7 linked regions of the Cricetulus griseus genome follow. The protein of the gene in region 4 interacts with the protein of the main gene of each other region in a biochemical or structural test. Links are inferred from orthologs where the notes say so. Each region holds a gene or a part of one and is shown on either strand. Other genes may lie near its edges. The genes, in order: Ccnd1, Foxo1, Ncoa6, Esr1, Arnt, Safb and Prmt2.

The links.
Region 1: the proteins of Esr1 (region 4) and Ccnd1 form a complex in vitro, tested with the Homo sapiens proteins (2 studies listed by BioGRID). The link is inferred for Cricetulus griseus from reciprocal best matches to the Homo sapiens genes ESR1 and CCND1.
Region 2: the proteins of Esr1 (region 4) and Foxo1 form a complex in vitro, tested with the Homo sapiens proteins (2 studies listed by BioGRID). The link is inferred for Cricetulus griseus from reciprocal best matches to the Homo sapiens genes ESR1 and FOXO1.
Region 3: the proteins of Esr1 (region 4) and Ncoa6 form a complex in vitro, tested with the Homo sapiens proteins (4 studies listed by BioGRID). The link is inferred for Cricetulus griseus from reciprocal best matches to the Homo sapiens genes ESR1 and NCOA6.
Region 5: the proteins of Esr1 (region 4) and Arnt form a complex in vitro, tested with the Homo sapiens proteins (2 studies listed by BioGRID). The link is inferred for Cricetulus griseus from reciprocal best matches to the Homo sapiens genes ESR1 and ARNT.
Region 6: the proteins of Esr1 (region 4) and Safb form a complex in vitro, tested with the Homo sapiens proteins (2 studies listed by BioGRID). The link is inferred for Cricetulus griseus from reciprocal best matches to the Homo sapiens genes ESR1 and SAFB.
Region 7: the proteins of Esr1 (region 4) and Prmt2 form a complex in vitro, tested with the Homo sapiens proteins (2 studies listed by BioGRID and IntAct). The link is inferred for Cricetulus griseus from reciprocal best matches to the Homo sapiens genes ESR1 and PRMT2.

The regions. Positions count from the first base shown.
Region 1 is NC_048596.1:56,404,580-56,408,718, reverse strand, and holds the end of Ccnd1 (G1/S-specific cyclin-D1), read right to left. Parts: intron 1,506-4,139; coding exon 1,357-1,505; intron 726-1,356; coding exon 561-725; downstream 1-560. UniProt on the Homo sapiens protein: Regulatory component of the cyclin D1-CDK4 (DC) complex that phosphorylates and inhibits members of the retinoblastoma (RB) protein family including RB1 and regulates the cell-cycle during G(1)/S transition.
Region 2 is NW_023276806.1:99,188,621-99,193,071, reverse strand, and holds the start of Foxo1 (forkhead box protein O1), read left to right. Parts: upstream 1-1,646; 5' UTR 1,647-2,063; coding exon 2,064-2,678; intron 2,679-4,451. UniProt on the Homo sapiens protein: Transcription factor that is the main target of insulin signaling and regulates metabolic homeostasis in response to oxidative stress.
Region 3 is NC_048599.1:24,163,912-24,168,335, forward strand, and holds the start of Ncoa6 (nuclear receptor coactivator 6), read left to right. Parts: upstream 1-1,569; 5' UTR 1,570-1,755; intron 1,756-4,424. UniProt on the Homo sapiens protein: Nuclear receptor coactivator that directly binds nuclear receptors and stimulates the transcriptional activities in a hormone-dependent fashion. Coactivates expression in an agonist- and AF2-dependent manner.
Region 4 is NC_048595.1:282,290,036-282,294,420, forward strand, and holds the start of Esr1 (estrogen receptor), read left to right. Parts: upstream 1-1,478; 5' UTR 1,479-1,940; coding exon 1,941-2,004; intron 2,005-4,385.
Region 5 is NW_023276806.1:61,081,719-61,085,376, forward strand, and holds part of Arnt (aryl hydrocarbon receptor nuclear translocator), read right to left. Parts: intron 3,491-3,658; coding exon 3,339-3,490; intron 1,529-3,338; exon of another isoform or gene 1,370-1,528; intron 23-1,369; coding exon 1-22. UniProt on the Homo sapiens protein: Required for activity of the AHR. Upon ligand binding, AHR translocates into the nucleus, where it heterodimerizes with ARNT and induces transcription by binding to xenobiotic response elements (XRE).
Region 6 is NC_048598.1:96,940,638-96,944,079, reverse strand, and holds the end of Safb (scaffold attachment factor B1), read left to right. Parts: intron 1-129; coding exon 130-420; intron 421-738; coding exon 739-876; intron 877-968; coding exon 969-1,011; intron 1,012-1,813; coding exon 1,814-1,929; intron 1,930-2,082; coding exon 2,083-2,189; intron 2,190-2,321; coding exon 2,322-2,388; intron 2,389-2,497; coding exon 2,498-2,627; 3' UTR 2,628-2,807; downstream 2,808-3,442. UniProt on the Homo sapiens protein: Binds to scaffold/matrix attachment region (S/MAR) DNA and forms a molecular assembly point to allow the formation of a 'transcriptosomal' complex (consisting of SR proteins and RNA polymerase II) coupling transcription and RNA processing.
Region 7 is NW_023276806.1:262,479,836-262,484,087, forward strand, and holds the start of Prmt2 (protein arginine N-methyltransferase 2), read left to right. Parts: upstream 1-1,301; 5' UTR 1,302-1,440; intron 1,441-1,788; exon of another isoform or gene 1,789-1,809; intron 1,810-2,494; 5' UTR 2,495-2,553; coding exon 2,554-2,607; intron 2,608-4,252. UniProt on the Homo sapiens protein: Arginine methyltransferase that methylates the guanidino nitrogens of arginyl residues in proteins such as STAT3, FBL, histone H4. Acts as a coactivator (with NCOA2) of the androgen receptor (AR)-mediated transactivation.

The sequences.
Region 1 (4,139 bases), on a different chromosome or scaffold from region 4:
GACTAGCAGTGGCTGCACTGAGCAAGCAGGAGTGAGGTGTGCCTTTCAGCAAAGCGAGTACATCTCTACCTAAAACTCTCTTCTATTTCAACAAGTTTGCTCTATTTGCCTTTTTTTCCTTCTTTTTTAAAGCAATGTTTCTTAAGCCTTTTAAACACATAAAATCAAAATCCTTCTGTAGACTTCCTGTGTGTTAATCCTATTCTTACAACAGACAAGCACATTAATAAAAAACTAGTTGATTACTGGGGTATAAAATCCTATTTTGGTAGCATCCCCTCTGCCCTACACTCAGGGTGATGCAAATTCTATCTCTCTCTCTCTCTCTCTCTCTCTCTCTCTCTCTCTCTCTTTAAGACAGCTTTCAGGTATTTTTTCTCTTTTGCTTAAGTCACATAGAAAGGAGAAAGATTAAAGAAAAACAACCAACAAAGAGAACAAAACTTCCCCTTCTGGTAACAAAATGTCCCCAAGAGGGACATCATTAGGAGCACCCCGGGCTGGCTCCTTCCTCATCGCGGGTTGCCACTCCTTGGTGGCACCCGCCTGCCCGGTGGCTCTCAGATGTCCACATCTCGTACATCGGTGGGTGTGCAGGCCAGGTCAGTCTCTCCCTCTGCTTCTCCCTCTTCCTCGGTGGCCTTGGGGTTGATGTTCTGCTGGGCCTGGCGCAGGCTGGACTCCAGAAGGGCCTCAATCTGTTCCTGGCAGGCGCGGAGGCAGTCCTGGAGAGGCAGGCGGAGATGGAGGGGGTCCTTGTTTAGCCAGAGGCTAGTGGCCAGGGCCTTGACCTGCGAGGCAGGCTTTGCTAAGGGCAAGGCTCGAAGAAACTCCCCGAGTCATCCCCAAATCCAGTGAGCAGTGAGAGAGCCACAAGGGACTAGAAAGCAAGAAGAGTGTCACCTCTGCCCCCATGCCATGAGACAGGAATAGGGAGTTCCTGTGGCTGATGCCAGACAGGGCAGATCGTGTGTCACACATGGAAGTCCACTGGCTCTGACCTACACTGAACCCCCAGCTGAGTCCAAGCCAGAATTGGACTTTTGTCTGTCCTGTCTATGCCAGCCTGCAATGTCCTTGAGGACACCTTCACGACCAGAGCCCCAAGCAGCATCCGCCATACTGCTCAGTGTCATTACGCCCCTGCCCCCTTCCTTTAGGATCAATGGCTTCTGGAAGATCCCCAAACCTCAAGCCTGGGAAGAGGCTTGGTGGGGAGGGGGCGCTAGGTTTGATTCCCCTTTGCTGCAGAGGCCAGTGCTCCAACCCTCACAGCCCTGGCCTGGTCACACAGTGTCTTGACACTGTCCCCCCTCCCCCCGCCCCCGATGCAGTCTCCTTCAATGACTCACTTACCGGGTCACACTTGATTACTCTGGAAAGAAAGTGCGTTGTGCGGTAGCAGGACAGGTAGTTGTTGGGGCTGCCCAGGTTCAGGCCTTGCATTGCAGCCACCACGCTCCCGGCAGCCACCATGGAGGGCGGGTTGGAAATGAACTTCACGTCTGCAGTAGAGAGGAGCCACAGGCCTGTGGTTTAGCTCCCACCCAATTCTCAGTACAGCCTCACTCTGTCCTCCAAACCTCCCTATCCGTGCATCAACTCCAGCTCCTTTGGCAACAGCTAGGTGGCGCTAGATGTACATAGGGATACAGGCCTTCAACCCCAGCATGGAGGCCAGGGTGCAGACACTTTAAGGCAAGGTCTTGTCTCACTTTAAGAAGCTGAGCGGCTGATCCTGGCCTGTGTTCCACCCCCCCAGCATCTCAAGCAAATAACAAGGAAGAGTTGGTCATGTCCCCTTTGTTCCTTCAAAGTTTAAGAAGAGGACAAAGGACAGAATTCAAGAAGGTACAGGCCCTTAATTAACCCTTTAACCTGGAGGCAGGTGTGACGCTTTACATCTGCATCCCCAGTACTTGAGAGATGGAGGCAAGGGGATTGCTGTGTTCCAGAGCCACCAAGTCATAGAAGGATAACGGTAAGCTGCAAGGGTGATAGGAGCAGATCCCTCAGAGGCCAGGCTAGATGTCACAGAAGGGATGCTCCCCCCAGAGGACTGACTCCCAGGATCTTCCACAAAGCCATTTCCCTAGTTATAAAATGTTCTCCTGCATCTTTTCCAAGCTGCTTTCCTGGTTCACTGATGCCAGCTTAGGGAAGAAAGACATGGGACCCCAGAACTCCAATTCAGGGTCCCTTGTGAGGGAAGCCCCGCCCACGAGTCTTGGGGACTCTCACAGCACAGCCCCAACTGGAGAAAGCAAACCCCAGGGGGTGGCAGCTTTGTAGTCTGCCCCACTGTTAAATGTGTGGGGTCATGTCCCCCCACAGTACTGCAGCAGCAGGGGGTCACCCGACTTCCACCCAGTATCTGCAGTGAGTGGTGTGGCGGGCTGACGGAATGAAGGCCTGCCCACCAACCCCACTACCAAAGATGAGCCCACAAGCTGCTCTCCTGAAACAGTGACAAGGACAGCCACACACTTAAGCCCGTGGATCAGGGGTTCCGGGCTAGAGGAGGACACAATAAAGAACAGGTGTCAGCTTCCCCATCTTGGGTCACCCAGTGCCTGGGAACTGGGAGGCTTGAAGAAAACTAATGAGAATCACAAGTGGGAGAGGGCTATGGTGGTGAGGCAGCCCTTTGGAGACTACCCTGACAGAGCATAGAGCTTTGGTTCTGTTAAAGGTCGGGAGGCACCAGGAAGGGACCCGGAAGAAGAGCAGCCACGCAGAAGAGAGACAATACTTCCAGGTGGCACCAAGGACTCAGCTCAGTTCAGTGAACTGAGCTTGCTATGGAGACAAGTTCAAATCAGATGCCCCTTTTGCAAGGAGACAGAGAAACTCCAACCACCAGCTAGCACGTGGCCCCCTCTGGTGCTTGTCTGTCCCCTTCTCATGTGCAGTATAAGGAACCTTAACATCTGCTTACTCACACTGCCTGGCTGCTGCTGGCATAGTTGTCACCCAGTTCAGTGGCATGACTGACACTTACCAAACACCCTTCATTTAGCTCAATTTCCTTTTGTCCTAATCCACACAAGGGTACACTCTGGCCACCTGTGCATGCCTGTATGACCAGCCCCAACCCTAGGTTAGTGCACTGCTCACAAGGTCAGGACCCAGGTCTGGGGGTATCCAGAAGGGAGAAGAAAAGTCACACCCTCCTATCTCCTGTAACCTTGCCACATGGATGGCACATTTCCTGGCTGGCCTTGACCTCTGGCCTCTTTCCAGAGTGACCTCTATGTGACCTCTAAGGAGCTGGTTACTCCTTCAGGGGGACAAAGCCTCCAGGCCTAGAACATTGGTGTATGCAATTCAATAAGTTGTGCTCAATCTCCATTTGTCTTTTGGGGGCTCTTAGTGGACCCATCATAGAAAAAGGCCATACAGTAAGCTGGGTCCAGCCATACTCACAATGCATTAATACTTGTTGGCTTCCCTGCTGGCATTCAGGGGTCCTGGGAGGGGCCCTTTGCTGCCAGAACCATCCTGGGGAGGCTGTGCCACCCCATCCCTCATGTTATCTCTGGGAAACTCTGCAGCTTCTCTGAAGCCACTTTCAGCTCCATAAAAGGCTTCCTGGAGCCTCCAAGGGCTCTGCTCTCCCCAGAGGAACCCCAGCCAGACGCCTCCCTGCCTGCCAGCCAGCAGGGCCGCCCCCGCCCCTTACATCCTTCCAGGCTACTGATGGCCTTGGCACTCCCATCTGCCACCCCCTTGCTTGGTAGGCCTCTGGGGAGGGGCTGCCACCCTCAGCAGGTAGCTGGGAGGCTAGAATCCCAAAATCTTCACACCCACCACAGCTAAGCAGAAACACTATCCACAAGGGTGGACAACAGAAGGTGCCAGAGATGGCAGGTGGGAAAAGACATTACATGCCCCTCTTACACCATGTTGCCTTTTGGCTGCCCTACAAGCCACCTAGCCTGAGTTAAGAGATATAGCAACTAAGGCTTGATCAGGGCCACCTGGGGGGCGGGCAGGGGTCCTAAGCAGGTGAGAGAGAGAGTACAAGACCCCCTCAGCATCTCTAAGCTTCCTGGGCAGGGCTCCCAGTTAGATGGGGAAGCAGCTGTCAGATGTAGTACTAGGACCACCTAGAGGCAGCAGACTGTCTATGTATGTGT
Region 2 (4,451 bases), on a different chromosome or scaffold from region 4:
GGAAAGGAGTAGCAAAGAGTTGTTCTCTGTGGTCCTTTTAAGCTCACTGATTTACTCAAGTCTCCTAGTGGCTGCCAAGGAAGACCCCACCAGCCACAACTTATATCAAGGTGAAGAGACGACAACCAACCTCTATCCCTCCCCAGCACTTCTGGTTCAGGGTCTCTACCCATACCTCCTTTCAAATTAGAGGAAGCCATTGCAATAAAGGGATTATGAAGAAACGGGGGCCCGGAATAGAGAGATGTTTCAGGAAAAAACCCCTCTGCATAATTCTAACCTTTGTAAGAATATCATTTTCCTTAGATGCCCCCTTTTAAATAGAAGATTTCTGTGTAAGGAAGAAGAGTGAACAACAGCAACAGGAAATTAGGAACCATCTTTTTGAACACATTTAAAACCCTAATATTCATCTTCAATTCTAAGGCATCCTATTCATTAAAAGAAAATGCCATCCATATTTCTTTTTAAAAGAGAAAGCAAGTCAGAAAACCAAGCGAGGAAACATTTTCTTCTGCTCCGTAATACAAGAATCATTATCTTTCTACCTTCGACCTTGCTGAGCCTGTATTAGATAGCCAGATCTGGGAGCTCGCACTGGGAAAAGTGAGGTGTAGGTGGGAGCAGGCTGAAGGCACAGATGCAGGAAGCTTAAAGGACCCGTTGGGTGATTGAAGAAGGGGGTCTGTGCCTCAACACTTGGGTCTGATCATTTTGGATTTTACTCAAAACCTCATGGCTTCCATTTTAAATAAAAAGAAATAAGCAACTAGTTAAACTTAATTAGGGGTGATAAAGTGACAAGGTTGTCTCTAAACGCTCTCCTAACCCTTTGGCCACTACTATGGTTTTCAGGGGACAGTGAGATTCCCGTGGCAGGAAAGCGGTTCCCACAGAAGACTTCAGATCAGAGGCGCTACAGGATCTATGTGCTTGTGAAACACTAGTGTCTTCTCCCCAAGCCGCACCTCTTCTGGGTTCAGGATGACTGGAGGCTGGGGGATGGACAGAAACGCAGAGTCTCAGCTTGCAGGTGTGCAAGGGTAGGGTGGGAAGAGGGACCAGGAGCCACAGAGCCTTCGGTCTTCACAGTAGGATCTTTACGCCCGAGGCAGCCCGGACAGATGCCAGCTTACGAAAACATTCCTCCAAAACAAACCCCACCGACTTCCCCAGAGCTCCCCGAAGACGCGTGGGCGGAGCGGGCTTAGTGGAATCCACGAGGCGCCCCGCCGCCCACGTCGCGTCCGGGAGCGCGCAGTGGCCCCGCGCCACCCCTCGAGTCGTCGGGGTTTGGGCTCCGAGGAGTACTCGTTTGCACTCTGTAGTAAACAAAAGTATGGTCGCCGCCTCCACGCTGGTTTGCTTCCTAGCAATCCGGACTCTGAGAAGCGAGAGACTCAGAAACACTTGAGAATTACAGAAAATAATAACGGAGATTGAAAAAAAAAAAAAAAGTGTGTGAGAAAGAAAAACACCCCGCTAGCCCCCTCCCAACAACCTACTGCCGCCTCCCGAGGGAGAGCAGCTCCCGCCCAGGCTCGCGCTCATTGGCTAGCGAGGCGGAGACGTGGCGTGTCCATTGGTCGCGCTGGCTGTCAGTCAGGGGCGGGTCGGCGCGCGCGCCGCCGCGGGCGGGGAGCCTCTGCAGATCCCGTAAGTCGGGAGGCTGCGGAGTCGCTGCAGTCCCTGCCGCCGCCACATTCAACAGGCAGCAGCGCCGCTGTCGCGCGGCCGCGGGAGAGCGAGCGAGCGGCCCGCGCCGTCCCCCCCGTCTGCTCTTGCGTCCGCGGCCCTGTCAGCAGGAGCGTGGCGCTCGAGCTGCCGGGCTCCGCGGCCTGGTCCGTGTCCCGTCCAAGCCACGAACTCGGAGGATCCTGGACCCTGGTGGCCCGCGAAGTTAAGTTCTGGGCGCGTCCGTCCGCTGCGCCGCGCCTCGCTCCGGCGTGCGTCCGCTCACCGCGGCCCCCAGTCTCGGAGCAAGTCTCTGCTCGCCCGCTCCGCGACCCCGGTGGCCGCGACTCCCAGTACTCTATACTGGTGGGGGAGGGGCGGGGGTCACCATGGCCGAAGCGCCCCAGGTGGTGGAGACCGACCCGGACTTCGAGCCGCTGCCTCGGCAGCGCTCTTGCACCTGGCCGCTGCCCAGGCCAGAGTTTAACCAGTCCAACTCGACCACCTCGAGCCCGGCGCCGTCGGGCGGCGCGGCCACCAACCCCGACGCCACCGCGAACCTGGCCTCGGCGTCCGCTGTCAGCACCGACTTTATGAGCAACCTGAGCCTGCTGGAGGAGAGTGAGGACTTCGCGCGGGCACCCGGTTGCGTGGCTGTGGCGGCCGCCGCTGCGGCCAGCAGGGGCCTGTGCGGGGACTTCCAGGGCCCCGAGGCGGGCTGTGTGCACCCGGCACCGCCGCAGCAACCCCCGCCGACCGGGCCGCTGTCGCAGCCCCCGCCCGTGCCCCCCGCCGCGGCGGGACCGCTCGCGGGACAGCCGCGCAAGAGCAGTTCGTCGCGCCGCAACGCATGGGGCAACCTGTCGTATGCCGACCTCATCACCAAGGCCATCGAGAGCTCGGCTGAGAAGAGGCTCACCCTGTCGCAGATCTACGAGTGGATGGTGAAGAGCGTGCCCTACTTCAAGGATAAGGGCGACAGCAACAGCTCGGCCGGCTGGAAGGTGAATGGCCTCGGGGGACGTGGTGGGGGCGGGCTGGAGGGTCGAAAGTGTGGGTTTGCGGGTCCCGGAAATGGCAGAGCGTGCGGAGTGAGCGGGGCGAGCGGGTGAGACTTGGCAGGTGTGGCGGAGGCTTCTCTGAGACCTGGAGCTTTGGACCAGGTGCACGCGAGGGAGTTCTAATTGGGACCCGGAAAGGGTTTGTTTGGGCACTAAGTGCAACGCCAGAGCAGGCGTGAAAGTTAGCCAGTTGTCGGAGCGAGGGGATCACTTTGGAGGGCTCTCTACTTGACACCCCGGACCTGTGAGGCTTTGGGCGGCTGCTCTCCGCCTACTCGCGCACCGACTCTCCCAGCCTTTGGTGGCCAAGGTTTCCCAGGACCCGCCAACTGAGGCCTGAGGTGGAGCCCTGGCGACATCCCCCTAAACGCACACGCACCCTTGGGGCTCCGGCTGCGGGTGGGATGGCTAAAGACGCACAGCAGCTGGCTGAGCTAGGTGCGGGCCCGCAGCTGCTGAAGGTTCCCGAGGCCGGAGCAGGTGGTCGAGCGCGCCCACTCACTGTGTAGGGTGTCCGAAGCGTGCGAGTGGGCGGCCACGGCTTTTAGGCGCTGGGCAACCTAAAGTTCAAGTGTGACCCTTGGCCGGGGCGGGAGCCGGCGGGGAGGGAGGGACCGCGTGTACAGGAAGCTGGGGCCTTTAAAGGGCCAGTGCCTCCAGCCTGGGAGGCCACACTTTAATACCCAGGGAAGTGCTTCCACGGTTGGTCTTGCTTGGGGAGGGGTGCTTTTAATTGGAAGCCCAGAAGGTGCTACGCGTGACCAGATTATGCACAGGTGTTTGCGAGTGCTTTCTTTAAGCAGAAAGCATGGAGTTACTCACGAGGGGCAAGGCTGGAAGCCTTAGTCGGAGTATTTGGTGCCAGTCTTAAGTGGGGTACTTGCTTAGGGAATTGCCAGAGACCTTCTCCTTTGAAGGAGGATTGCAGATTTGTAGATGTAGGTGCTCATGGACTTTGTTTACCTTTCTGAAGATGGCTGGGAGAGCGAGGTGACTCCAGAGTTGGACTGCGCGACATCCCTACCCTGTGTGTGTGTGGGGGGGTAGTAAGAACCTGGGGTCTTTTGGAGGAGAGAATTGGAATATTACACAGGGGTCACTCCCTGGTGGTCACCCCGGCTGACAGTTTCTTAGCATCACAGGTGAACACAGATCTTAAGATTTTCCAGTTTAACGCAACTTTTTTTTTTTTTTTTTTTTTTTTTTTTTAGCTTTTCTCCCTCCTGGTCTTGTCTGTACAGTGTAGCAGTGATGAGTCTTTGCTTTGTGATTGTTAGAGCGAGGTGGTTTCACATATTCCATCTTCCCTGTGGTTAAAGTAGCTAAAAGGTCAGGTTACTCACATCATAGGAAAGTTCTTGGAGAAAGAGCCGGGCTTGTTTTGTTTTTGCCAGTGTGTTTTAAAGATATATACTATACCTGACATGCAATATTATCAAATGTTCCAAAAAGTAAAATACCCATTTCTCATATTCTAATTCACAAAAATAGAGGTTGTCTTTACTTAACTGACTTTGAGTACTTGCCTGCTTTACTCATCTATGGAATCTCAGCAGTTACATAAAGCTTCTGTCATTAAAAATAAAACAACAAGAAACCCTAAAACCCTTTAGGCACCCAAGTACAGTGTGTACTTACATCGTTCTTTAATGTTCTTGGAGAGGGATAGATACAACCTACTTCAGTTTGTTTAAGTGCCTTACTTTAAAGATAAAG
Region 3 (4,424 bases), on a different chromosome or scaffold from region 4:
TATGTGCATGGTATGCCGCGTGCGCGCACGCACGCACAGACACACACACACACACAGACACACACACACACATACACACACACACATGCTGGCAAAACACTCATATACCAAGTAAAATATCTTTAAAAATTTAATGTGTGTGTATGCCTGTACACATGTGTGTAGGCATATACATGCTAAGGGGCCAGAAGACAACTTGTGGGAGTCATTTCTTTCCTCCTGTCGTGTGAGCTTCTGAGGGAACTCAGCTTGTCAGCCTTGATAAACAAGTGCATTTATCTATTAACCAATCTTGCCTGCCTGGGTTTTTTTAATTAAAAAAAATGATTTTAGGGACTGGAGAGGTGACTCAGTAGTTAAGAGCACTGGCCACTCTTCCAGAGGACCCAGGGATTCCCAGAACCCAGATGACAGCTCACAACTCTCTGTAACTCCAATTCCAAGGGACCCAACACCTCTTCTGACCTCCACAGGCCTCAGGCACAAGTGTGTGGTGCACATATATACACGTGTGGAGAACATATGTACATATGTGCTACATACACACACACACACACACACACAGGCAAAAACACTCACATAAAAATAAATAGATCTTTAAAATAATTATTAATAGGTTTCATCATGAGATTTTCATACATGCGTATCACGCTTATAGTTACTTCGCATTACCTCTCCCATCCCTTCTGCCCTCAAATAGTTCTCACTCTGCAGCTTTTATCACACACACACACACACACACACACACACACACACACACCCCTAGATTCTGTCGAATCATTTTTAGTAAGAGAGTGGCACGCTCAGAATTCTGACGGAGGAATATTACTAGCAAGAAAAATAGTGGCGCACGCTGGCGGTGCTGGTAAGGGTGGTACCCATACCAGTCTATGTGCACAGTGTGCACTCAATAAATACCCGTGGAAAGAAAGCGTTTCAGAGTCCTCTCTTAGATGAGACACTATAACTGAGCCGTTAAGAATCCACCTGCCCCAACCGTCCTTACAGAGGAAGAAGCTGAGACACAGAGGTAAAGAAAATCATGAAGCTAAGGGGTGGGAACTGATTTAAGTGACTCTGGGCTCAGCCCAGTGCTAAGAACACTTCCCTGCTTTGGGAAGAGAGGAAGCCAGAGGCCCGCCTCCACCTGTTCACTCACCAGTTCTATTTTGTGAGCACCTACCGTGTTTGTTAGGGTGGTGGGACGAAGTGGGGGGGGGGGAGATAGAATAAAGGTTATCTTTATCGTCAGTCATTAGACGCTTTCCAAGCCTTTCCCTCATTTCCTCTGCGCAAGGAAATACTATCATCCCCATAGCTGGGGAGAGCACACTGAGGCGTGGAGCGTTACGCAGCACACACAGCCAGCCGCTGGGACAGCGCTGAACATGCACGCAGACCAAGATCGCACCCAGCACCTCGGCTCACATGCTCGCTAGCAATCGAGCTCGCGCGCTCCACCTTGCGCGCCAGGGGACGCCCGGTCACGTGGGCAGGGCCCCGCCCCTCGGGCCCGCCCCGCCCCGCCGCGCTCCCTCCCTCTCTCCTTCCTCCCTCCCTCCCCGGCCCGGTCCGGCCCATCCCCCCTCCCCACCGGCTCCCTGAGGCCTGCCGGGTCGGGCTGCGGCGGCCGGGCGCCGACGGCCGGACGGACGGGCGCACGCGAGGACCGGCGGACGGACGCGCCGAGGGCGCCGGGCACGCACGGCCCGGGCCGGCGCTGCGAGGCCCGCCCGGGGCCGGGGCCGCGCTCAGGTGAGGCGACGGCGACGCTGGCCCGTAAGGGGTGGGCCTGCTGAGCGTCCCGGGCCCGGCCCGGCAGGCTTCGTGGGGAGGAGGCCCGCCCGGGCCTGGCGCGCGAAGATGGCGCCGGGCGGCCGTGCAGCTCGGCCCGAGTGCGGCCCGGGCCCGCAGCCGCCCCACCCGCCGCCGCGCTCGTGTCCCCGTCGCCATGTTGGGGAGCGGGCCCGGGGCCTGCGGCGGGCGCGGCGGGAGCGGCGGCGGCGGTGGGGAGTGCGGGTCGGGGCCCGCGGAGTGCAGGCGGCCGGGGTTGCGCGGGCGGCGCTGCGGCCCAGGAGCCGGCTATACCGCGGGCGTGAGGTCCGGGCTGGGGGCGCGGAGAAAAAGACCCCGGGAGCGGACGGGACCGGGGTTGGGGGCGGGGCCGAGGGGGCGGCGGGCCGAGGGGGTGCCGGGCGGTGGAGTTGGGTTAGGCCGTGCGCTGTGAACCGAGCCCCAGAGCAGCAGCCAGGGGTAGGGGAGGCAGCTTGGGGGCCGAGTCCTGGCTGTCAGGGCTGGAGTTGTTCTTTGCGTGCGCTGGAGGAGATTGCTTAGGAATGGGGGTTGCGAACTCGGGGATCAGAGTGGGTCACCGACGCGGGAATCAGCCTGGAAGGGTCCTGGCACTGAATGGCCAGTCTTTATGACTCCCAAGGGTCTCGGGACCTGTGAGCCCTGAGGAGCCTCCAGTCCCGTTGGAGGCAGCAACAGGAAAAGGGAAGAGCTTGATGAGGAAAGAAAGGGTGCCAGGCAGGGGCTGGATGTAGGAGCTGGACAGCAAAAGGTACAGAGTGGAACTGGTAGGAAAGGAGAGAACCTCCATCAACTTAAGGAGTTGTCTTTAAAAGGAGGGACCCGGCTGTTTGGGGGCGGTGACCCAAAGTGTGTTTCCTGGAAGGGGACAGCCGCTGCTTAAAGAGCAGGGTCACCTGGGGAGGTCGTCTGAAAGGTCTTGTTGAAACTAGTCAGAATCGTGAAGAAGGAAAGGACATGTAATAACTACGGTGGCTTTACAGAGATCATGCCATGGTTTCAAATCAAGTAGTGATTTTAGCCAAGGTAATTGATTTCCTAAGATAGTTTGTGTCGGTGACAGAGGCTCCTGGATATGGACTAAGGCTTCCTCATTCAGTTGCTAAGTCAAACTCCATTAAATTATCAGAGTCATTAATTTTTGTTTTAACAAGTTTGTCAGTACAAAGCCTGAGTGGGATACAAAAATGTATAATCAATTATTGGATATTTCCTAGATCTCCATTGATACAAAAAAAAAAGCATCAAGAAAGAACCTCTTTCTAGAGTTTAAAAAAATGTTCCCCCTCGTCTGGATGTTTATTGCACAGCAAAAGAACACAAAAAGCTTAAAAGGGGAAAAAAGGATAATGATAGAGACCTAGGGTCCCCATCATATTCACTTTAATTGAATTTCTGTTATAAATAGGCAATTGAGAGTTCAAATGGACTATGAGATAAATCAGCCAGTGATATATAGTTGACTTTTAATGTCCCTGAGTTTTGCATCTACAGCTTCAACCAATCACCGATTAGAAACATTCATAAAACAAAAAATTGAAACTGTGCTAAACATACAGGGTTTTTTCCTTGTCACTGTTATTTTTTCTTGTTATTATTATTCCCTAAACTAGACAGCTTAACAACTGTTTACATGACATTTACATTTTATTGGCTATTACAGGTAGACAGGATACACAAATATTGTATCACTTTATATAATGATTTTGATATCCTAGGAGGTCCTAGAATCCATTGCCCATGGATATACCAAGGAATGACAGACAATACAAAACTCCACATAATTAAAAAACAAAACAAACTTAGAAGCCAGGCACGGTGGTTCACATCTATATCTCAACACATAGGAGACTGAGGCAGGAGAGTCTGGGCTATAGAGTAAAGGCCCTGCCTCCAGAGGAAAAAAAATAGACTTTCAGGTGTTGGCATTGTAGTTAAATGGTAGAGTGTTTGCCTAGCATACAACATAAGGGCCTTGGTTTTATTCCCAGCACAAAAGGGATGGAGTTTAATCAAAAGAATTTTATAAGGATTTTCAAAACCACATGTATATTCAGTACCAATTTTTCTGAGTCTTTCTAATGCAGAGATCTGATCTTATGTGTGCCATGGTCCCTGTAGCATGGATCTCTCAAAATAATATTTTTAATTGTATAAAGTAAATGACATTGATTACAAAGGAAACTAGTTACATTCAAATAGTTACTAAGTATAAAAATTGTTTATGCTGAAGTATCTGTACACCTATTTGTGAATGTGGTGGTAGGGATTGAACTCAGGGTCTTGCTCAATCTAGGTAAGCCTGCAATACTGAACTATTCCCCCCTTGCAGAGTGTGTGTGTGTGTGTGTGTGTGTGTGTGTGTGTGTGTGTGGAGGAGGTGGAGGAGTAGTACTTATCGAGTTTGTGCATATGCATGGGGAGACCAGAGGTTGACTTTGGTGTCTTCCTTGATTGTTTCTCTACCTTATTATTTTTTTACCTTGACATTTTATTTTCTGTAGTTATTTGTGTGTGGGGCCATGTGTGTGGAATCTGAGGACAACTTGTGGGGATCACTTCTCTTTTTCCACTTATGTGGGTATGCCAGAACTCAGGTCATCAGGATTGAC
Region 4 (4,385 bases):
GAGAAGACACCAGTGTCTTGCTTTGGCCTCTGGATGCAGGGGCACAGGCATGTGCCCACATATTTCTGTGTACTTTCACACTCATATGCATCCCCTCCATGAAAAGGAAATAATCTTACACTTGGTTCTGAATCCAGTGGATGTTCTATTTTGAGAATTCCTGCCCTAGGTAATTTTCTTCTCTGTATTGATGTACACAACGGATTCTAACAGGTAGCTAAATGCTATTTGAAAGCATGATTCATCCATCCTGGCAAATCAAATAAAATGGAGGGATTCAATTAATTTGGGGCAGAAAACACTTGGCTTTTAAAACGTTTGAACTATTCAGAACCTTTTATTGAATCATTTACCTTTCACCAGAAATCGTAATAAAAATAATAAATCAAAGACTGTCCTTGCCATGCTTAGGGTATGTAATTATTCCTTGTATAAATGAGTCTTATTAAGCTTAATGTTTGTTAAATTGAAATAAAGCATTCTATATAACAACTAAAAGGCATTCTATCCCAAGTAGTCTGGGGGAGTTAAATTCAGACACATTTATGCATTTTGGGTTATTTTAGGGCTAAACTCACCAGTGTATAGAAAACTGAAGACAGTGAAGATAGTTTATTCTAAAAATGTTTAATTCATTAGTTATGAGATGTTTGGCTTCATGTCTCCTCTAAGCCAATTCTGACAGTCTTCCCTTACCCAGCATGCACCAGTGTGCATTTAGAGGGATTGAGGCAGTGGCCAGAGAGGTCCCTTCTGGTCTTTTGCCTGTCACCATTCTTATTTCTGGAAGAATATCCTTTTTAAGTCTTATCGCATAGAAAAAAAGCAAACACATTAAAACAACAACAACCCATCATTGAAAGCACATGTTACATAAAACATAGCAGATTTTATAAGCTGTTAAAATTTCAATCATTTTTAAAAATGAGGGGATCTTTGGGTTGTGGGCCAGCGGTAATGTGTTTGCTTAGCACATCAAAGTTTTGGGTTCTACCTCTAGCACTGAGAGAGAAAATAAATTCAAAATATTTTTTAATCTCATATTTTTACTTCAGCCTGTTTGTCTTTGAGTTTAAAGGAAAGAAAAAGACAAACCAACAAAATAATAAGTGTTTAAAAAGCCAGTCGTTAAAAAAAGGAAAAAAGCCAGTCTTGGCTTACACCTGTAATTTTAGTGCTTAGAAGGCTGAGGCAGGAGGATTGCTGGGAGTTTAAGGTCAGTCTGGACTACAGAGACCTTGTCTTAATAAAACAGAACAAAACAAACAAGATTAAAGCCCTAAAGCAAACAAAATACACCCAACCCCATAAACTTGTAAATCGCTGCAGGAAATACCAAGCAGTTTATGAAGACTCATGTATCTTAAGGGCTTCCTTGTCAGTGCAGGTTTCCAAAATCAGGAACCCAATTAATCAGTGACAAGACTTGCTGAGCTGCTCCTTGAGTCAGTGAGTGAAAGAGAAAGTTTCGGAAGCACTCACCGAAGGAACACCCTCACGCCAGCCTCTTAGCTAATTTTGGGTGAGAAAATTTATGCACCCCGGAGAATGCTTTCTTATTTTATTTTTTCCAAGTCAGCATGCCCGTCTAGACTTTGAGCTTTATTGCAAGTAGAGACAAAATGGGCTGGATCACCTTAAAAAAAAAAAAAAAGTCTCAGCTAGCTAGTTTCACCGGAGGCTTGTCCCTCTGCAAACATCTATCTGTAGGCAAATGTTGAGAAAGTTGGAATCGGGCCTGGCTGGAGAGAGGAAGGCCACCCCCTCCCCTATTATCCGGAGCAGAGTTTCCAATCCCAGTCAAGTGGTGGTGCTAATTCCTTGCTTCTGAGACTCTGCATTTCCTAATTTCATGGTCATAACAGCCTCGGAACGGATTCTACCAAAACTGAAAACACAAGGCTCCATGCTCAGCAGCCCTGTGACGCCAGGAGAGGCCAATGCCCCCTCCTCTGCCATTCCCTAGCACAAGAAGGCAGTCTCTGGGTGATTCTTCTCAAGCAGGTACTTCTATGTCTTCTCCATTTCTTTATAGTCCCCCCCCCTTGGCTATATTGTGCTAGTATGTGCAAGCAGGCTGGAGTCTCAGAGCTCACCTCTCCTGTGAAAATCTGTCCATTCTCTTTCTTTCATTGCTCCAGCGATATTTTATGAAGTTTCTGGCAGACGTTATCAAGTTAACATGTTAAACCTGACCTTGGTCCCATGGAAATTCACTCTGGGAGCCATGCTCAGCTGAGTCAGAGGGCGACACAGTTATCTTTTCTTAGTACAGCACTGACAGGCTGCCTGCCTGCCCCAGATCACGTCTATTTATTGGTCCCAGGTTTAGCTACGGGGATCTGTAAGGTTGAAACATGCGCGAGTTTAAAAAGTTCCTGCTTAGATTCACTTTGTACTTGCCTCAACACGACCCTGTTTCTTAATCTTTGGTGCTGTGACTTGTGACTTATGGGAGCGTGATTTAAGCAACTGGAATAAGCCATCATTTGTTTCCCCCAAGGTAGTGGGGTTTTCTGAAAAGCTATGCCATCTAGTAATTCATCTTGTCTTGAAGTTGCCCCACGATTGTAGGCGAGTTCTGAACCCCGTGGCTTTGGTTCTCTCCAACCTGAAAGTAGCCATGGGTGACTTATTTTTTTTGTTTTCATGTGTTTTCCTTTTTTTTTTTTTTTTGAGGCAGGGTGGTGTGTGTGTTAAGGATAGTGCCACACAGTGGCACACAGTGCCACTCGTTGGTGACGCGGTAGTTACAAAAGACAGAAAAGGATACTTTCATTTTGGCCACAGGAAAACCACCCGTTTCCTGTAGTGGAAAGTCTTGTGCTTGATCAAGAAGTGGCCAGTGTTTGTTCTCTCTGACTTGCCCAGAAAATCCTAGATGGTTAAAATTCATTTTTAAAAATTTACCTAATATAAGGGTTGGGCTTTATTAAGATGTTTGATTGTGGCATGAAGTACCACTCACGGGTGCCAAATGTTTTAAAATTAGCTTCTTTCGCCAAATCTAATTGATTTATAGAGTACCTCCTCCCACAAGGCTGCTGGGAAATATATTTAGTTTTGAACCCGAAACAATATATGCTGAGATAGTGGACATTGGAGTACCAACTGAAAATATTTGAACTTTTTTTTTTTAAAGTCAGTAGGAGAGAGACCTCTGTGATCTTAGGGGCAGAACCTATTTCTATTCATTAAAATTCTTTTCTGTTTCCCTAAACCAATAAAAGAGAAACGTTTTGCCCTTGTCTTGTTAATATTCCAAGAAGGCCCATCCTTGGCCCTGCAAAGATAGATATAAGACTGTAGCGGTTGGATCCAATCTTGCACTGATTGTCAGATTTCTGTCACAGAAGTTAGAAATAAAACTGACATAGGTATCAGAGACAGGGCATACAGAAAAAAAAAAAGCAAAATATTGAATGCGATTATCAGGATTGTATGTACAAGCAGAATGTGTTGCTTTGACACTTGGAGGTAATTATTCACCTTTGTTGCTCATGACAGCAAAGGAAGAAAATAAAGCCCCAAAGGATAAATTTGCTGCAACAACAAAGCCAGACAACTGCCTTCTCTTTCAATGATCTAGAGCTTTCTTTCAGTTTAGGACTCAGAACCATCTGGCATCTGTCTGTCTTCCTCCAAATGTAAACCCCCAATCCCTATAGACATTACATGAGGTACTTGCTGAGGCTTCCTATATGGGTAGTTATCTTTACCCCGTCCGAGTCTGTCTCTGTATTTTTGGTCCAGTTGGCCAGAATGACAGCTTGAGCTAAGGCTGTGGTTGAACTTCAGTTTGTTCCATGGGTACAGGGAGGCTGTAAAGAAAAACAGACAATAGAGTGTCCAGCTTGGAGACTATATCTTTGGTAAAACACACAAGAGGTGTGGTCCTGTCCATTTACCTCTGCCTGGGCAGACTGGCTATTTACTGAGAAAGAGACACTACCTATGAGACTTCCAGTACAGGGACTAACAAAGTACTTCATTGTGTTTGTGTGTTTGTGTGTGTTTGGGGGTGTGTGTGGCAGGGGGCATGCTGTTTCATAGTGAACATGTGAAGGTCAGAGAACATCTTTGTAGAGTCACTTCTTTCCTTCCATATTTACATGGGTTCTGGAATTGAACTCAGGTCTCCAGGCTTGCACAGGGAATACTTTACTTAGCCACACCCCCATCCATGCTCTTTTTAAAGGAAAACACTTTACAGGTAGCTTTGGCTAAAGATGGTGATGCTGATGGTGACTTTGTCTCTTAAGTGACATTCTAATAATCTCTTTTTAGATCTTCTCAGATCACAGCAGCAAAACTGCATGCGCTAATACATTGCATGATTTTCTAGGAGTCTAATATATTGCTTTTTCCTCTGAAAGTCTGTGACT
Region 5 (3,658 bases), on a different chromosome or scaffold from region 4:
GGCGATCTGCTTCCAGCATCACCTATGGAAGAAAAGAACTTTAGTATATAGATGTAGGCAATGGAATTTTCAATGAAGCATTAAATAAATGAACTCAAATTTTAAGTAAGAAAACTTTATTGGTAAACGCAATTTAAAAGTCTGGGTGGTGGTGGTAAACATCTTTAATCCCAACAGAGGCAGGTAGATCTCTGTGAGTTTGAGGCCAGGCTGGTTTACGGGTGAGTTCCAGGACAGCCAATGATACACAGAGGGATACCGTCTCAACAAAACAAAACAATGGAAAAGAAACAAGTCTGGGGATGTGGCTCAATGGTAGAATGCTTGCATAGCAGGAGGCTAGTTTACACAGGGAGCTACATATCAGGAACACATAATCGAAACACCACACCGAACAAACAAGCCAAGGACTAGAGAGGGCTTAGTGGTTGGTTACAAGGTCTGCTTTTTTTTTTTTTTTTTTTAATTTTATTTATTATGTATACAACATTCTGCTTCCATGTATATCTGCACACCAGAAGAGGGCACCAGATCTCATAACAGATGGTTTTGAGCCACCATGTGGTTGCTGGGATTTGAACTCAGGACCTCTGGAAGAGCAGTCGGTGCTCTTCACCTCCGAGTCATCTCTCCAGCACCACAAGGTCTGCTTTTACAGGACCCAGGAATGGTTCCTAGTACCCATGTCAGCAGCTTACACTGGTCACAATACATCTCAGAGAATCTGGTGCCCTCTTCTGAGCTGAGTCCAGTTATACTCACATACACATTCCCAAACACAGACAGACATCACACCTCTAAAAAAAACAAATTTATTTAGTTATTTATTATGTATGCATGTATGCCTGCACTACAGAAGAGAGCCCCAGATCTCATTTTTGATGGTTGTGAGTCACCATGTGGTTGCTGAAATTGAACCTGAGTCCTCTGAAAGAACAGCCAGTGCTCTTTACCACTGAGCCATCGCTCCCAACACTTTTTTTTAACACATAGTTTTAAAAAAATAATAAAAATAAATTGCTTAAGAGCAAAGCAACTTTTAAACCCCCAAACCAACTAAATGAATAATATAGGAGAGATCACATTTTCTGGTAACATATGAGTCCCTCTAGGCTCCATTTCTAGGACTGGAGACAAGGAGTAGTGAAAGAGGAGATAAAAACAGTAAATGCCGTAGGGCATTGGTGGCGCAGGCCTTTAATCCCTGCACTCAGGAGGCAGAGGCAGGCAGATCTCTGTGAGTTCGAGGCCAGTCTGGTCTCCAGAGCAAGTGCCAGGATCGGCTCCAAAGCTACACAGAGAAACCCTGTCTCAACCCCCCCCCCAAAAAAAAAAAGAAAAAAAATAGTAAATTCCTTCCAATGCTTACCTCAGGCAACAAAAGGCTAGGGAGATGGCTCCGCAATTGGGAGAACCAGCTGCTTTTCCAGAAGACACAGCTTGAGTTCCAGTACCCACAAGGAAGCTCACAACCAGGCAAGACTCCAGTTTCAGGGGATCCTATGTCCTCGTCTGGCCTCTGTGGATACTGGGCACACACAGAGTAGACATGGTAGATATACATACCTGTAAGCAAGATATCCATACAAGGTAAAAAACAGACGCATGACACTTAAGAGAAAACCTGTAACAACTAAAAACAAACAAGCAAACAAGCAAGCACTGTTAGGGAATCCAAATAAATGCTGAATTTACCTACTAAGGTAAACCATAAGATACAGCATAAATCTGGTATGTTGGCCTATGTCAGTAATCACAGCTTTTAGAAACCAGAAGTATTCTACCGACCAGTGGTGGTTCCTGGGGAGGAAGAGACAGACGGATCTCTGTATGTCTGAGGCCAACCTGGTCTACACAACAAGATCCAGGACAGGCTCCAAAGTTACACAGAAACACTGTCTCAAAAAAAAGAAAAAAAAAAAAAGGGAGTTGTTAGCGCATGCCTTTGATCCCAGCACTAGGGAGGCAGAGGCCTGTGGATCTCTGTGAGTTCCAGATCAGCCTGGTCTACAAGGGCTAGTTCAAGGACAATCTCCAAAGCCACAGAGAAACCTGTCTCAAAAAGAAAAAAAAAAGCAAGAGTATTGCTACAAGTTTAAGACTAGTATTCACTATGTGGTAAGTTCCACACCACACAGATACAGTAAAATCATTATCTTAAAATAAAAATTCTAGAGAGATGGCTCAATGGATACAGTGTTTACATCACAAGACCTAAGTCCTGGAGTTTGGATCCTAAACCTGTAATCATAGGACTCACAAGGCAGAGACACACTGTAAGCTGGCTATCTATACATGCTAGAATTAGCAAGCTCCAGGTTCAATGAGAATCTGCCTCCATAATAAAGTGAAGGAAGAAAGCTGTAAACCTCTGAATTCTACATGCATACATACCTACATACATGCACGTACACACACATCCAAAACATGCATATGTACGCATACACTGTGACCATTAATGTCACATTGACAAAATTTGAAATTACTTGGGAAATGGAACTCTGTGAAAGCCAATGGAGAATTATTTTGATTGTGTAGAGGTGAAAGGACCTGCCCACTGTGGGTGGTTATCATTCCCTAGACTTCATAAAGAGAGAAAGAGAGCTAGCTGAGCAGGCAGCATGAGGCAGTCTGTCTCCAGACTTCACATACAATGGAACCAGATGCTCCAGGCTCTTGCCACTATGAATCCCTGTGAACCAGACTAAGTCCCTTTCCCTTTAACTGAGTTTTGGATGTTTGTTTTTGTTTTTGTTTTTGTTTTGTTTTTCAAGAAAGGGTTTCTCTGTAATGGGTAGGAGCCTGTCCTGGAACTCAGAGACCAGCCTGTCTCTGCCTCCCGAGTGCTGGGATTAAAGTTATGCACCAACACCTAGCTCCCATTTAACTGATTTTGTCAGAACATTTTATCATAGTAACTGAAAAAGAAATTTAGACATAGATAGGTAAATCACACACAAACATGGGGGGAGGGGGGAGACAGAAAATAAATATACCTCATCCATGAAATGGGAAAAGGAAGCAATCAGGATATAGCACTTACGGAACTTGCTTTTTTCTATAATAAATAAGCCCAGCAAGTGGGTATGAGGAATTGTTGACAATATGTTTCCTTATTTTCTACCTGCTCATCTTCTAATAATTCACCTTCCATTCTAAGAACTTTTTTTCTTTCTTTCTTTTTGTGGTCTTTTTGAGACAGGCTCTCCCTGCATAGCTCTGCTGTTCTGGAACTCAGACATCTGCCTGCCTCTGCCTCCTCCAGTGCTGGGACTACAAGCGCATGCCACCACACTTGGCCCATTCTAAGAATTTTTAACTAAAGCTTCATCATTTACCTGAATCAATACTGAGGACATCATCATCTTCATCAGGAATCTCAATTATTTCTGTAGGCTGGGAAGCTTCATCCTCGGAGCTACAGTGATGATACCGCAGTCCCAGCTTAGAGTAGAAATCCTTCACCAAAGACTCACAATTGATCACTGCCCTAATATTGGAACACATTAGAAAAGATCAAAGCCAGTGGGGAAAGCGTTAGAATTTATACACATTAATGCAATACGAAGCCTAGGAGCTCACACCTATGATCCTAGTACTTAGGAGCCTGAGGTACCAGAACTGCCTAAGTTTGAGGTCAGCTTAGACAATACAGTGA
Region 6 (3,442 bases), on a different chromosome or scaffold from region 4:
TGGGAGGAGAGAGGACCACAGGAGGTGGCAGCTGCAGTACCAGGGACCCCTTTAACTGTGAAGTATCGTCTTTGAGCTTGCTGCCCCCAGCATGACCTAACTCTGCCTCAACTTGCCCTCCTCACACAGGGAGCGGGAGCGCAGTGAACGGGAGCAGCGGTTGCAGGCACAGTGGGAGCGGGAGGAGCGGGAGCGGCTAGAGATTGCCCGTGAGCGCCTGGCTTTCCACCGCCATCGGCTAGAGCGAGAGCGCATGGAGCGAGAGCGGCTGGAGCGCGAGCGCATGCATGTGGAACAGGAGCGGAGGCGTGAGCAGGAACGTATCCACCGTGAGCGGGAGGAGCTACGACGGCAGCAGGAGCTGCGCTATGAGCAAGAGCGCCGGCCTGCAGTGCGCAGGCCTTACGATGTGGATGGCCGGTGAGCAGCCAGGGATCCAGAGCACCAGGCCCAGGTGCATGGGGCAGGGGTGGGGGCGGGTCTCACACTGACTGACCTAATTTGGAGCCTGCTGGGACCTTTGGTGTGTGAGGCTCTAGGCAGGCAAGTGTCCTGTGAAGCTGCCAGTACCAACGGCTTCCAAAGACCAAGGCACTCATCACCCACGGTGGCACTAAGTTAAAGGTGGGGCGTTTGCTCCAAGGGTTAATACACCTTCCACAAGGAGACCTCTTGCCAGGGACTTGAAGCTGTGTAGACTCTAGGTGCCTCATGCCTCTGCCTCACACTCCATCACAGGCGTGATGATGCCTACTGGCCAGAAGCCAAGCGGGCAGCACTGGATGACCGCTACCACTCAGACTTTGGCCGCCAGGACCGCTTCCACGATTTTGACCACAGAGACCGGGGCCGTTACCCCAACCACTCTGTGGACAGGTAAGCCTCTGGATGGGCCCATGACCATGTTGGGAGGGCTCTGTGCAGGCACACCCCTCACCGTCTGGTCTCACTGAAATCACATTTTTTAGGAGAGAAGGTTCGAGGTCGATGATGGGAGACAGAGAAGGACAGGTGAGCATGGGGCACTGCTTCAGCTGTGGAGGGGTGGTCCCATTCTGTCAGTGCTGCTCGGGAGCCATAGTGCCGGCCACATCCCACCTGTGCACTCTGAGCCTCTCTGAGTGTTGCTCGCACTGCACCACTGCTGCTTTTAGCTGCATGGTGCCACCCTCATTGCTGTCTGGCTTACCATCCTAACCCTTTGGTTTCCCGTCACCAAGTTGATACCAGGGTTGTCTGCAGCCCTTGGATACTCATTCCGCCACCCTGTGGCTTAGCTCTACCACAGGCTGCCATCATGGTGTCACCATTTCACACAGCTACTTGCCTTTGTGGGAACAGCTGACCAGCAGTGGCCTGGGTGTATGTTCATTTGTACATGCAGTTGTCACTCTGCAAAGAAGGGCAGGTGACTGACTTGAGAGTTAGACAGTGAGAGCTGGCCCAGAACTCCGGTGTGTCAGGACTGTTTGTGATTGGGCAAGAGACTGGAGGGGGTTGGAAGGTGCTAGATGCATTTGGCTTCACTTGGTGTCTGTCAGGCCTTGGCCTTGACACAGGGTTTTTGGTAGGCCAGTATTTGAGCCAAGGATAATGGCTGGCACTCATCTCATTACTCAGGTAGCTAGCCTGGGTTCATGTGGGTGTCTCACTGTTGTGAAACATAGGCTGCAGCGCTTGTTAGGAGCCTTGTAAACCTAACCCTTTGTGAAGAAGGATGCTATGACAATGGCCACATACTCTGGTTCCTGAGCTTTGTTTCCTCTTGTCTGGGGATTGGGTGATGCTGACTTAGCCTTTTTCTCTGGTCCAGCATTACCCTGAACGCCATGGAGGGCCTGAACGCCATGGCCGGGACTCTCGAGACGGCTGGGGCTACAGCTCTAACAAGAGAATGAGTGAAGGCCGAGGGCTGCCCCCTCCTCCCAGGTTTGTGTCCCACCCTCCCAAGGCCTGGTCTTGGGATGACTTTTAGCCTGGCCTGGTGGAGTGTGAGCCCCACCTGCCCCCCCCACCCCCCCAGCCATGCTGTTTGCCAAGGGCCTGGTGTGGCAGTGCAGGTCAGAGGTATCTCTTTCCAAGGGGCAGGCGTGACTGGGGGGAACACAGCCGGAGACTTGAAGATGACCGGGCATGGCAGGGTGCAGCTGACGGAGGCATGATGGAGCGTGAGCACAAGAGGTGGCAAGGTGAGAACAGGCGGCAGCCAGGGCCACTGGTTAAGGAAGGATTGGGGTCTGGGGTAGGATAGGACCAGGTGAGACCAAGCAGGGCTGTTTGTCTGCCAGGCTGTCCATTTAGACTTTTGCCTCATCCTGCAGGTGGTGAGAGGAGCATGTCTGGCCACTCAGGGCCTGGCCACATGATGAACCGAGGTGGCATGTCAGGGTAAGTGCTACCCTGCCAAGGAGGAAGTGGGGTTACATACTGCAGTGGTGAACTAGGGACTACCTGTGGCTTGGGGAACACTGGCTAGGGCCTCTCCTTATCTCTTTAGGCGTGGCAGTTTCGCCCCTGGTGGAGCCTCACGTGGCCATGTGATTCCACGTGGAGGGATGCAGGGAGGCTTTGGAGGACAGAGCCGGGGCAGCAGGCCCAGTGATGCCCGCTTCACCCGCCGCTACTGAGCACCTGTGCCACCCAGCTGTGTGACCTCTGTGTCCTGTCAGGACTTCTCCCACCATTGTACAAAGGATTTTTTTTTAAATCTGCTGCCATATTGTAGCTTGTTAAATGTGAATTTGTTTTCATTTTGGTTTTTGTTGCTGTTTTTTGTAATAAACGTGTTTCTGTTCATGTGCCCTTTACTTCAAGCCTTCAACCTTGAGAAGTGGTAGTCCACAAGCAGCCAGAGGCGTTGTCCATGGTGCTAGCCTGTCCTAGTCTGTGGCTCGGGCCTTGGCTGATTCAGTCCTGCATATGGGAAGATAGTCGGCCCACTTGGACCCATGTTGTGAGCTCCGGCTTGTGACCACCATGTTGGTGACCATGATGGACATGCAGAGCTGGCCTTACTGCAGACAGAACTCTGCAGCAAACAAAGCTGGCTGGCTGTTGTTGGCAGGGGCACCAGAGGGGTGGGAGACGTGCGCCTAGCTCTAGAGGCCGTTGACACTCAGCCTGGGGTACAGGCAGAGGTAGCCCCTGGTTTTGGTAAGGCACATGTCTCCAACTTTTGAACTTCAGCAGAGTGACGCAATAACCCAGATGCCAGGCATCCTCTGTAGCCCAGGAGTGGACCTAGGACAAAATAGTTGTGTTGAGCCAGTCAGCCATCATGCCCTTCATCTGTTCACTGGGTTTCCAGGGTGTTCTGTGAACGTGCAAATAGCTGGGTGACCTATTGGGCTTGGGTCCGTAAGCTGCAGAGCTCCTTGTGGCAGAAGCTGTGCCTGGAGATGACCCAGAGCCCAAAGGTGGCCTGGAGTCCAGGCCCCCCACA
Region 7 (4,252 bases), on a different chromosome or scaffold from region 4:
ACCTTTAGTGGCAACTCTTACGTTAATGATTTTTCATGGTAAACATGGTGGAAAAACCAAACCTTTTCAGATTCACCTCCTTGGCAAAGGCTGTGATCTCACCGAAGTTTAGGCTCAATCTTACCCACTCCACCCTAGAATCAGCCAGAACTTGGCCTCCTTTAGGGGCTTCCCGTTCACACCACGAGGTTCTAACTGAAAACTTCTTAAACTGTGGTACACAGCTCTGTTCTGTAACTTAATGTTGGAGTCACAAAAACCGGGCAACGGTAAAAGGCTTCCAAACTAACAATGGCCAAAATAATTCAAACTCAAAAGTGTAACGACTCCAAAGTGTCTCTCTCAGCCATCACCCATGGTGCGTTGCGGAGCTCCACCTCAGCTTTGGTTTTGAACGCACAACAGGTACAGTTTACTCTCCATTTGCCATGCAGATCACTGAAGGCTGCCCGAGGTGCCTCATAGCGGGTTTGAAGCCATTATGTTAAGAGCTGCAGTGTTTTTTGTTTTCTTTCACCATAATGGCTTAATTTCGGAAAACAAAGAATTTTAATATTTTCCCATCATCCCTCGGCACTATCACATCAAAGTATCTGGATTACAGTGGACAAACACATCCAACTAATTAGTGTGCAAATCTGCTTTTGTCTCTAATAAATGGCAAAATCAAGTGTTTTAAAATAAATTCTTTTCTGATTTATTACCAGTGAATGTTCCTTTCCTATGCCTACTTTAGACACCTAGTGTCACACGGAAATTTCTTGCATAGAAAGGGGTTGCCAGTGAAAAGGACCCTGCTCTGTCAACCGGTACCAGTGGCCCTCTGAGTACAGGATCTTCAGGACCTGGGGGGTTCTGATGTGTCTTGTGCCTCACTTGGGAGCTGTGCTGGTACCACCTCAGGCCTCAGGCTAAAGTTGGTTCAGATGCTGTGCGAGGCCCCATTCTGCAGACGCTGATCCGGACGCAAACCAGGTTATTGGACAGGCAGAGGGCTCCAAACACACCAGCAGCCCCAAGAGTGCTCGGGACGGCGCTGCCGGGCACTTCTGCGGCGGCGGCCTGCACGCAGTTGGAATCCGCTGGGGGCACGGTCTACACCACCTGTGGCCTCCCACCCCAAGTCCAGCCTTCCTTCGCACCGTTCCTCCCGGTGAGCCGTTGCTTGCACGGCTCCCCGCTGCGGGCTTGAAGCCGGACGCGGACTAGACGCAGGGACACAAAGTGCGCCTGCGCCGAGCGGCCGGCACTCAGACAGGACTCTGACCTGCAGCACACCGGGTTCAGACGGACCGCGCCTGCGCGGGACACCGAGGCCTGGGCGAGCCCGAGCGTTCCGCGCTTGCGCAGGTCTGGGGCGGCGGCTGAGGCTTCGGATGGGCGTCATCCCTTCCTCCTCGGTGTCGCCAGCCTGGCGTTCGGCGGAGAAACGCGGCCGAGGTAGGTTTCTTAATGGGCGGCTTTGGCAGCTGGGCCGCAGGTGAGGCCGCACATGCTAGGCAGAAGGTGTGTGTCTCCGCCCCTCCCGAAGGTTCTAGTCCCGCCTCACCCTTTCTCAGCAGCGCCCGCCCTCTCCCCGCTCCTTTCGCGGCGCCCCTCACTCACTTCCCCAGCCCCTCGCCGCTGGCTCCCGGAGCCACGCCCTCCAATGACCACGCCCACCTGCCTAAATGCCTCTCGAGCCACGCCCCCCTCTTTAAGCCTCTTGCCTCACCCCCCACTTGGCCTGGCCGACCCTCCCAAAGAATTCATTGTCCTCCTCCTCCCGGGCACCAGCCTTATCCTGTTCCCAAGCTTTTCACCGAAGATGTAATAAGTATTTGTAATTCTAATTATTACGAAGTATGAAGTCCAGACCTAGAAGCACAGCAGCAGGCATTTCAACAAAGAATTGCTTTAATTGAAGTTAATCCCAGAGCCAGTAAAATTGCACTGCCCCTGAAGAAAGAGAATTAAAGAGTAGGAGGGTGTCCCCGGGCATGCAGACTCCAATTCTGCCACTGGAACGAACAGGTCAAGCACTAGGCAAGGGGTTTAAATTCTAGTTTAAGCTGTTAGGAGTTCCTAAGAACAAAATGATAGTGATTTATTGTAAGTAAAAACAGGCTCGCAGGGAATAAAATTAATACTTAGCAGACTAAGGAAGGAAGCACACAGTATTTGAAGTTTTTGCTGTTTAAAACCCTCTAAAACAGCGGTTCTCAGTCTGGGGGTTGAAGATCAGATATTTACATCATGATTCATAGCAGTAGCAAAATTACAGTTGTGAGCAGACACGAAATAATTTTATGGTTGGGGGTTACCACAACATGAGGAACTGTATTAAAGGGTTGAAGCGTTAGGAAGGTTGAGAAGCACTGATCTCAAGAATTGTGGTGGTAAAGTCCATTTCTGTGCCATTCTTTCACATGCAGTGAACCGTAGAGCTGAAGTGAATTTAATTTTCAAGTATAACAAGCACTTTGTGTTTCTTTCTCTCTTTTTTTCCAAGTAGAAATGAAAGGGAAAATGAAATAACAAAGAAGCAGTTATGAGGCAGAATCTTACTGAACTATGGAGACACCAGGTGACTGTCCCGGAAATGAGTCACAGGTCATCCCAGTGCTGGTACGTAAGAGCCATGTGTAACGAAAAACAAGTCACAGGTGTGAGGCAGTTTTCCTTGTCTCTCAAGGTAGTCAACAGGAGGATGCTTGAATTTAAACAACACTGGGTGGGGGGTGGTGGATATGAGCCTAATTCATAGGTGCCATGCTGCGTGGTGTTACAAATCCTTCAGGGAACTCTTTAGAATGCTTCAGACACCACAGTCCTCCAGTGTAAACTTGTGTTTAGTCGGTGTTAGGCATAGGGCCTGGAAAATGCTTGGTACTCCAGAAGTTCCGTGTTTTGCATGCTGTTTTCTGCCTTGGGTGCATATCAGTTTGATTCCTGTTACCAGAGAAAAGGTCCCCTTCACTTTTAAGGAATATTGATAATGTACAATTAACAAAATGAGTATTCAAATAAAAACACTTTTAAAAATCAAAGATTTTCATGTCTGTGGTGTGAGCTTCAGCATTTTCTTCTATCCTAATGATTTTCCATTGCTTGGGTTTTAATTTATTTAATTACTTATTGAGACACAGGATACACAGGTCTTACTGTGTATCCCTGGTTGGTCTTAACTCACGGGGTTATGTCATTCTGTGGCTCCTGAATGCTGCAATTAAAAGTGCCTCCATGCCCAGCTGCTGGGTATGTATGTATTGGGTATTTTTATGTGTAGGAATTTTATTTATAGTTGGCTTAATTTGTTAATCATTTTCCATGTTCAGCGTCAAAATGTTTTAATTCTATGAATGCCCAGTTTTTCTTTTGGTAAATGTAAATATTGACAATTACAAGATAATGTTGTAGACATTGAGCATATGTTGTGCAGAGATGAAAACGTTTCGTTGTAGCTGCCTCAGGGCACACACACAAATAAAATTAACACTCTAGTCTGTTTTCAAACCCAGACCCATTCCTTCCTCGTCTGGAGGCAGACAACCACTTCAGGCAGGCTTCTGCACCTTAGGTACCTTTATGAACGTATAAGGGTCCTCAAGCCAGCCAGAAATAAGCACCGAGGAACTGTGTCAATCAAACAAAACGAAGGATCCCTGAACAAAGTCCGAGTTGCTCTGTGTTTTTTCTGAGGCTTGTGTAGGTGGTATTGCTGTTTCTGCAGCTATGTGACATCACTTTGGCCCTGCCACTGCTGGGCCTCCTGGGCACGTGCTCTGTCTGTATATCCCAGTTTTGTGTTGGTCTGCTGTGGTCCCATGGCTATGCAGTGGGTTTACATCTCCCTGTCTCCCTTTTGTTGGGTACTCAGATGTAGTCACACCCTGCCTCCCCATGGTGCTGCAGTGAGTACCTGTTGCCATATCTGGTGCTCCAGATTAGATTCCCAGCGATAGCACTGTGGAGCTTTGAGGGTGGAGGACCACATACTTTGAGTTTCCAGGCAACGTCACAAGTACACAGATCTTCAGTATAGCCCCTGATGGTGTCATAGACGATACTTTAATTGTGGTCAGTTGGATGGGTTAGAAATGATTTCTTCTTATTGACTTTTAGTTGACTTCTAAGTGACTCGGGAGTCTTAGTGGGGGTGTGGCAGAAATCCTGTTAATACTGCCCACTAGAGAAGAGGTGCTAATCCTAGGAATTTGTGTTTTCTTTTTTTTCGGCAAATCAGGGCTAATCAGTTTTATCTTGTTAAAGA